Bombyx mori: one gene and its partner. The protein of the gene in region 1 interacts with the protein of each later gene in a pairwise test. Links are inferred from orthologs where the notes say so. Each region holds a gene or a part of one and is shown on either strand. Other genes may lie near its edges.

Evidence for each region. The genes of interacting proteins can lie anywhere in the genome.
Region 2: the proteins of epidermal growth factor receptor (region 1) and protein lin-7 homolog C interact in a two-hybrid assay, tested with the Caenorhabditis elegans proteins (3 studies listed by BioGRID). The link is inferred for Bombyx mori from reciprocal best matches to the Caenorhabditis elegans genes let-23 and lin-7.

Annotation. Positions count from the first base shown.
Region 1 is NC_085107.1:5,354,867-5,359,304, forward strand, and holds part of epidermal growth factor receptor, read right to left. Parts: intron 4,245-4,438; coding exon 2,405-4,244; intron 2,322-2,404; coding exon 1,473-2,321; 3' UTR 1-1,472. UniProt on the Caenorhabditis elegans protein: Tyrosine-protein kinase receptor which, upon binding ligand lin-3, activates 2 signaling cascades: the let-60/Ras and MAP kinase signaling pathway and the let-60-independent phospholipase C-mediated Ca(2+) signaling pathway.
Region 2 is NC_085116.1:14,600,909-14,605,347, reverse strand, and holds protein lin-7 homolog C, read left to right. Parts: upstream 1-1,471; 5' UTR 1,472-2,242; coding exon 2,243-2,839; 3' UTR 2,840-3,338; downstream 3,339-4,439.

The DNA.
Region 1 (4,438 bases):
TTTGTTCCACTATGAAGGTATTATGGAATGTAAAAACAAAATAATAACAGTAAGACCCAGCTTGATGCTGTTTCGTTTAGCGCTTTTTCGGTTTAACGCTATTTTATCTAAATTGTGGGATTCCTCGAAATTGCACGCAGCGTGAGGCTTTCCGATATTCGAAGCTATTTATCTGTGTTTCTTCTTTCCTGTGGTGTTATTGGAACGTATTTTTATCGTATCAAACATTTCTTGACGTTATTGTAAGTATAAATTTATACAATATGACAATTGATATACTAACAAATATTATGATTTGAAGTTTTTATGTTGGGTAATAATTAAATGCGAAGATAAAGCAACAAGAAAAAGAATTTCACCAGAAACTAAGATGCAATGGATTAAAAGATTAGATACTGGTCAACGTCAATCGGAGATTTGGAAACTTCAACAATAAACAATATTCTTAAGGCAGAAAATTGGAAATACTGAAGAGAAGAATGGCCTGAAATGGAAAGATACTTAGAATTTTGTTTATATATTTATATATAGTATATTCGTTTATTATGTTTCTATATTTGTAAGAAATACATTTTTGTTTTACTGTTATAAAATACATAATCTATAAACTGAATGGTAAAATATTTGACCATAAAGACGATTAGGAACCCGTCTTTCCTAACTTTACATTATTTGCATGACGAGAAAATCTCGTATAACGCTGTATAATATTACGCTATATCTAGCTAAAGAATAAGCTAAGCGGGGTCTTACTGTAATTCTAAACATTTTGCAATGTTACAGTAAACTCAAAAAAAAATCAGTACTTTAATACGCTGTATTTTTATTTGCATTTTTCTATCTATCTGTATTCATTTATGTAAAGTGCAAAATGCTTATTCACATAATTTTCAGACAGTGGACATAATAAAAAAAAATCACTGGTCCGCAATGTATCGAAATTAAACTAATTATCACAGTTTTAAAATAAAAATAATGCTCTTTAAGCTAAACAAATAGCATCCGAGAGAACTAAACATAGCCATTCTTAAACTAAATTAATAAATAACTTAAATCTTTTGTTAGGTGTACAAAACACACTATAGAAATTATATATATTTTTTACAAATCATAAAGTTTTAACAGTATCTTTACAAAAAAAATATTAATGATTATAAACAAATTAACAAATTGGTTTTCCTATGTTAGTATAAATTCTCTTTAGACTACGATCGATCCAACACTAGCCATCGTCCAATGGCACGGGATTTGCGCGCGCGCTCTTGCCCATAAACAATTGAGATAAGAGAAATTACAATACTCTGCTAGACGCTAGACAGATGCGACGCGCACAATTAAATGTTATAATAATTATCAAATCCACACAACTCATATTTAAACCCAGATGATCATAGCAACGGTGGTAACATTCCTGGTCGGAGATGGTGTAGTACAGATTAATTGCAAATGGATCGTGTGCTGTGTAATTGCATTCAGACGGTCGTTTCATTCCGTCGTAGAGGTTGGAGCTCTCGTTGCAGATCATTGTAGTACTCGTGGTCTGACATGGACTCCTCCTCTACAGAACGCTGCGGCATATAATTGCTAGTACCTGGACGAGGTGTGGTATCGGCGCTTTCTTCGCTCGCGGACAGTGACTCCAGTGGAACTGGTTCGGTCGGGATACCCAACGTCTGAGGCGGTACGCTTTCTTCTGACATTAAGTATTCAGGGTTGTCGATGCAACGTTTAGAACTCACGAATTCCCCGAAACGGATGTCGTTAACGTCTTGTCCTTCGCAGCCTTCGCTGATCAGATCCATATACGTCGAAGCGTTCTGAGTATGTTGTGGGGAAGGCATCAAGTAGTCATCTTCGTCCAACGGTAAGTTCAGTTTTAAATTACCGACTTGAGCTTCTTTTGCCTTGGACATGCCGTCGAAGTTATCTTCCAAAGATACTTCGGTTCTCGTTTTCATAGGATCGCTGCAATATCTCGAACTCGAAGTGTCAGACGCGCATACGCCGTTATTATAGTAATGACGTACTTCTGAGCCATCGGGATTCAGTTGATTGTTGTATCGCAACATTTCGTGATCCCAATTTTCAGGCTTAGTAGATGGGTCGGGGACCCCGTCTTGACCAGCATTATTAGGCCACGAAGAAGATGTACAGGGTTTCAGTGAGCTGGTTTGGGTTTCCATGCCCGCACTGAGAGCGGAGTTGGTCGTCACTGTACCTGTCATACTTTTGAATTTAGGTTGTAGATATTCGTCGGCATCAACTAGTGATTCTGGACCTTCCATAGCCGATGACAAATTTCTTATCATTTCCTTTTCATCCTGAAACATTTTAATTTACAATTAGAAAACTAAACTAATAATATTCGTTGAAATAAAGCACTTTAAACGAAGAATATATCAACTACCTGTGTCGAGTAGGATGGAAGGCGCATAAACTTGTCTCCAGGAATAACAAGATATCTACCAGGGTCTCTCGCCATTTCAGCGAATGTATCAGCTAGTTGTTTGAAGGTCGGTCTGCTATCCGCATCTAACATCCAACATGATACCATAACACAATAAATGTCCAACGTGCAAATACTCGGTTGCGGTAATTTCAATCCATTTTCAATTAGTTCGGGTACATTTCGTGCTGAGATATTCTCGTAAGGTCGGGCGCCATAACTGAGAATCTCCCAAATTGTAACACCAAAAGCCCAAACATCACTTTTGTGGGTGAAAATTCTATGTTGTATACATTCTAGTGCCAACCATTTTATTGGCATTTTACCTCCAGCTGCTTTGTACTCGTCTTCATTTATATCTAATAGCTTGGCTAGTCCAAAATCAGTTATTTTAACTGAGTTGGGAGTTTGTACTAAAACATTACGGGCTGCCAAATCCCTGTGCACTAATCTTTTTTCTTCTAAGTATGCCATTCCTCTAGCTATTTGTGTGCACCAGTTAAGGAATGCTTTCGATCCTATTTTCTCTTTATGTGTTCTCACATAGTCAACTAAGCACCCCAACGGCATTAACTGAGTGATGAGCATCATTTGATTGGTCATGCATACAGCTAGAAGTTGTAATAGGTTTGGATGTTCGACGCTAGCCATTATGTAAGCTTCTTCTAAAAATTCTTTACTAGTGTTCGCACCTGTTGTCTCTTTTAGCACTTTTATAGCGACAGGTATTTTAACGTTTTCTCCCTCAGGAACCCATACGCCCTTGTATACTTTTCCAAAAGCACCAAATCCTAACATACCACCCCTGCGAAGCTCAGCTTCCTTTACTATTCTTAATTTGGCAAGATTTGGTTTGACGTTAGTTGGACGCAGTGGTTCGTTGTCTTCACACCCTGTCAACACCATCGTCATTTTGACAGCTTCTTTCTTTGCTTTTGCTTTTTGACGGAAATTATATCCAATTATGGCAAGAACCGCCAAGAACAAGGAAGCTATGACCAGAATTATAACTAAAACTGTTGATGTTCTTGCAGTTGCGGTTGGGATATCATTGGCGTGTTCAGAACAATACGGCTCTTCGATTGGGTCTTGTAATTGTTCATCAAAATATATTTTATTAGGAATATTATCTGGACATGTATCAGTGCAGTTGAATGGAGCGTTTTCGTCGCTCGCATCAGAACCACCCAAGAATATCTTTAGATTTTTACATTTGATGCAATCTGTGGGACCAGGTCCAGTACAGCCTTTACATTCTGAGTGACAAGGTGTACAATTTCTGCCGATTTCATCAGTGAAATGATCTGATGGACACTCATCCTCACATTGATCCCCTCTTTTGAAACCGTTACATACTTGACATACTTGTTCATGGATTCCAAATCCTACACATTTAATACATAGGGGATGGCATTTTCTGCACGCTATTTTCACTTTTCCTTCTAAAGGTTTAACGTTACCGACCCACTCGTTATAATACCCGTCTGGACACGGTTCGTCTTCCTTGAGACAGCTTTCAACTGTGGCTTCAACACTTATTATAGCTTTATTGCAGGAATTACATCCGCCTTCTCCGACAGTGTTCGCAGGACCCGTGCAACCATTATTGCAATTAGGATGACATGGGTGACACGTTCCATTTTCTGAGGCATATCTTGATTCAGGACACTGGGCAACACAGTAAGGGCCATCTCGGACATGCTTACAGGAGGTGCAGTTCGCCCGACTTGCTCCAGTGCATCCGTCAAGGCACTCCGAGTGACATTGCTTACAGCTTTTGTGGTCAGCCTTGTACAATCTGGAACAGTAATGAAATTCAGCATAAATAACATAAATTACAATTTAATACACCAAGATAGATTTGGTGTATTAAACAAACAATGAGGTCACCATCGTTAGGACATCGAACCGTTAGGAGAATGCTACCCACACGTCAGCTACTAGGTTTTGTTATGGTAATAAGACCGCTAGATGCTGGTAACTGTCGTTGTA
Region 2 (4,439 bases), on another chromosome or scaffold:
CTCACCTTAGGTATACCAGCAGTTTTATTCTTTAAGCCATAACGACTCCAAAATCTACTATTCACTGTTCCAACAGTACTTTAAGCACACAATCACAAGCCAGCCAAGTGAAGCAGATTCTTTCATACAAAATCAAATCTACTAATACATTATTCAAAATATTTTGATCAAATTTACATCAGCATACATTGTAAGGCATTTATATATGTACATGAAATTACAACATGCAGGTTGATGACTCAACCTCAGGCAACACACCTCACAAGTTCCTTAGTTGTATTATGGTGTTTAAGGTAGAATTTAACCTATCAAAATTCTCTTTTATATTTTTTTTATTGCTCTTGTAGAACGATGTATACGTACCACGAAGATGGCGATGGACATAAGCAATACCAGGGGCAGAGCCAAGCCACAATAGCATTGATGGAAAGTTAACCTTAAATTGCAATTGATGGAAATGAATGACTTGAATTCATAGTGTGTAACCACCTTTTAAAACTATTTGTAAGTCTCACTTGCATTGAAATAATCACTTTTCCATTATTTTAGCCAGAATTCATAATGTCAGAATTCAATAGGATATACAAAGCTGTACGAGCTATTTTATTTACACATTCTGAATCTCAATTAAGCCTTGTTTTCATTGATTTAAAACGAAGCCACATGACTTAATAGATGATCATTGTCAATAGTGACTATTGTCAATAATGTACAACAGCAGTTTTAGTAACAGCTCTATGTAAAAAGATTGTTTATCAAAAGAAAGTGTCTTACTACTTATGAAACACTGTTTTCATAAGTTAATTCCAAAACTAGGTATAGTAGGTACCTACGTATCTTTAATGATTTCAATAAAACTCATCAGCTGTTTCGTCACTTGACACAATTGTTGTTTAAGAAAGCAATCATAATCAGGAGGAATAATTTACTTAGAGCTTATACATGCTAAAACCTTGAATTACCGAAGAAACTTTAAGCATTATCAATTAAATAATTAACTTATGACCCAAATGACAGTGATAAACTTTATCAAACGAAAGTAAACATGTCAAGTATATTATAATGTACCATGTAAATTCACTAGAAGATTCGGCAAGGAATCAAATGCAAATTCAAAGTTATTTTTAGGAGAACACGTCATAGGGCATTCAATTTGGAGTACACAAACAGGTTATGATAACATGAACTCACCTAGGTCATCCATATTTTCTTCAGACTTAAGATTAAGTTTTTCACTACACTAACACAAATAACAAATGGCACAGTTGCACAGCTAAATATGTATAAATGAGCAAGAAATTACTTGTTAATACTGTTCGTGGATAGACGAATCAAACATGTTTTTATTGAATTGTAAATAATAAAATTCTTAGTCGCTATATAATTGACAACTGACATTTTGACATTTTTCCGTTTCATGTTCTGTTTTAGTTTTATCCAATTTTATAGGTAAAGGAAAGGAAAAGAAAACCGATGGTTGGGCTGCAATAAGTTAGTGGGTGCCAGGTTTCATGAGCGGACACTGATGGAGCATCAGTAGTAATTATATGATGAATTTGACTTTTTAAACTTATCATGGAACACTTGATGTGATTCAAGTCCAAAACTTCACAAACTAATTTGAGTAAAAGTGACTTTATTGTTAACTCTCTCATATTCCTATTTCCCTGGCAGTTAAACAGAATTGTTTGAGATGAAGAGTAAGCCTACTTTCCAATCTCGGATAGTACTAACATCCTGCGGAGGAATTCGGTACCCACTTGAAAATAAGTTGGTCGTGAGTTCTTTAACCTGTCTATACAATTTAAAAATTATATAAGTTGAAAACCGTTTAATCTTGGCTGTCTTGGTAAGTGCAGTGATGTTTTTTGTGGAAGGCATATGTTCATCAAGTATAACAGATACCTAGTTATCGTCAGTCATTCTCTTATTTGTGTATCTCAGTGATAATTTCTGTCCGTTATTGTACAGATTTTTTGAACATACAATCCAATCCCCAGAAATATCCTACACACTTAAAAATATAGTCCAATCCTTTTATTTCTTAACACCATAGATACCTAGTACTCTTCTTATTTTTTTAAGTGTATCATCTATATTTTACTCTTTGAATTCAATTGATTTGATTTAGTCACTGAATCACTGATTTCTACATAAATTTATTATTCTCTAAAAGTATATTTCGTGTTAATTTATACTCACAATTTTGTGTATACTACTTTAGTTTCAAAAAGTGTTCAAAATGACTACCACTGGCGAACAGTTAACGTTAGCTAGGGATATAAAACGTGCCATTGAATTACTCGAGAAACTGCAACAGAGTGGCGAAGTCCCTGCAACGAAATTAGCTGCTCTCCAGAAAGTTTTGCAGAGCGACTTTCTAAATGCCGTAAGAGAGGTTTACGAGCACGTCTACGAGACTGTAGACATACAAGGCTCCGCAGACATAAGAGCTTCCGCAACTGCAAAGGCAACGGTGGCCGCATTTGCTGCTGCAGAAGGACACGCTCACCCTCGAGTAGTGGAACTGCCGAAAACTGAGGAAGGCTTAGGGTTCAACGTAATGGGCGGAAAAGAACAAAATTCTCCGATTTATATATCTAGGATAATACCGGGCGGAGTTGCTGACAGACATGGTGGCTTGAAGAGGGGTGATCAACTTTTATCCGTTAACGGAGTCTCAGTTGAAGGCGAGAATCACGAGAAAGCCGTAGAACTTCTGAAGCAAGCCGTGGGATCCGTAAAATTAGTTGTCAGGTACACACCAAAGGTCTTGGAGGAAATGGAGATGAGATTCGACAAGCAAAGAACTACACGGCGACGCCAAAACTACAACTAAAATTTTTCACCGGCTTTGCAGTCATTTATCAAACAAAGTGTATTAATGTACCTGTTATTTTTATCCTATGTTTTAATGAGGAACTTTGATAATCTTTAAGGCATTGTAAAACTTTATTTAATTTTATAAAAACCTATATTACTTTTACACCCAATCAGTTGGCAGTTGGAGACCATGGCTATTAAAAATTGGGAACTATTCAAGTATTGAAAAATATTCAATCTGCTATTTATTTATATATTAAATGAAAACTTTGTTAGTGTGAATTTAATTATAAAGTTTTCTTCTATTTAAATCTAAACGGTGTTTTAAAGAAATTTCCTTTTATTTACACATGTTTAAAATACTTAACAATTAATTACTAATTAAAATACTTAAATAAACGAAATGAATGTATTGTAGATGTATTATAAGTTTTTGCACATGTTATGAATGTTTATTGTATGTACTTAATTTAGTTTTTAAGTTAATATTAAAATATAATTGAGGCTGTACCAGATTTATTGTCAACAATTGTGATTTCTACAAATGTAGTCAACCTCAATAATCATAGAAGTGCCCTCGACAGAACAATTAAAGAAAAGAAAGTATTTATGACTCAAACTGAATAGATGTACAAACAGATTGTAACTGCACCTTGTTAATTACCACTATTCTGTCTATTTCTACCATGAGTAAATTATTACTTAGATTTATGGATGAGCTCTCGGCCCACCTTGTTTTATGTGGCTACTGGAGCCTGTAGACATTTACGTCTCACTTTTAACAGTATAACAGCTGCCCCATCATACAAACCGAAATGCATTAATGCTTGACAGTAACAACAGGCAGGGTGGTGGTACCTACCTGTGCAGACTTACAAGACGTCTTACCACCAGTGATTATGTAAATTATAATTTTGCAGGTTTGATTCTTATTACACGATGCTATTACTTCACTGTGGAAGTCAATCGTGAACATTTGTTAAGTACCTATTTTAGCGGCATCTGCTTGTGGGATTCAAACACTGATGCATCACTACATACAAATGCACCTGACGTCTTATTCTTTAAGCCACAACGATTTACAAATTCTTTACTTATCAATATATTAAAAAGTTATGTGGTGAGCGGTGTTGTGGTGTGAAATAGTGGGGCATGTTAATTACTCAGAGCACTCCCTGTGGAACATGTGGTACAGAACTGAAGGCCCTCTGTAGACCGAAAGGTCCAATATTATTGGTAATAGTAGAACTGTTGACAATCTGAATTACCTTCATCAGTATGCAGTCAAATGGAAATAACTGGCATTTGAGAGCACAGCTAAGAGCAGTATTCCATGCTACACTGAACTGGCGCTTTTTAAAGTATAAGCCTTTGTGTACATGTGAAGTACTGCATCACTTTGTAGAGGACTTTCATCATTTTGGCAGTGAGCTTGGTTTTATCTTCCAATTACTCTAATACAGAATACCACTCAAAATATCAACCTCAACAATAACAATAGGCTCGGAAGGTGGCAGAGATACTCCTTTAAATTTCAGCCCTGTCATAAAGCAGTCTTCTTTGAAGAGGATGTGATGATTTGTCATCAATAGATTGAATTCAAATAATTTCAATTC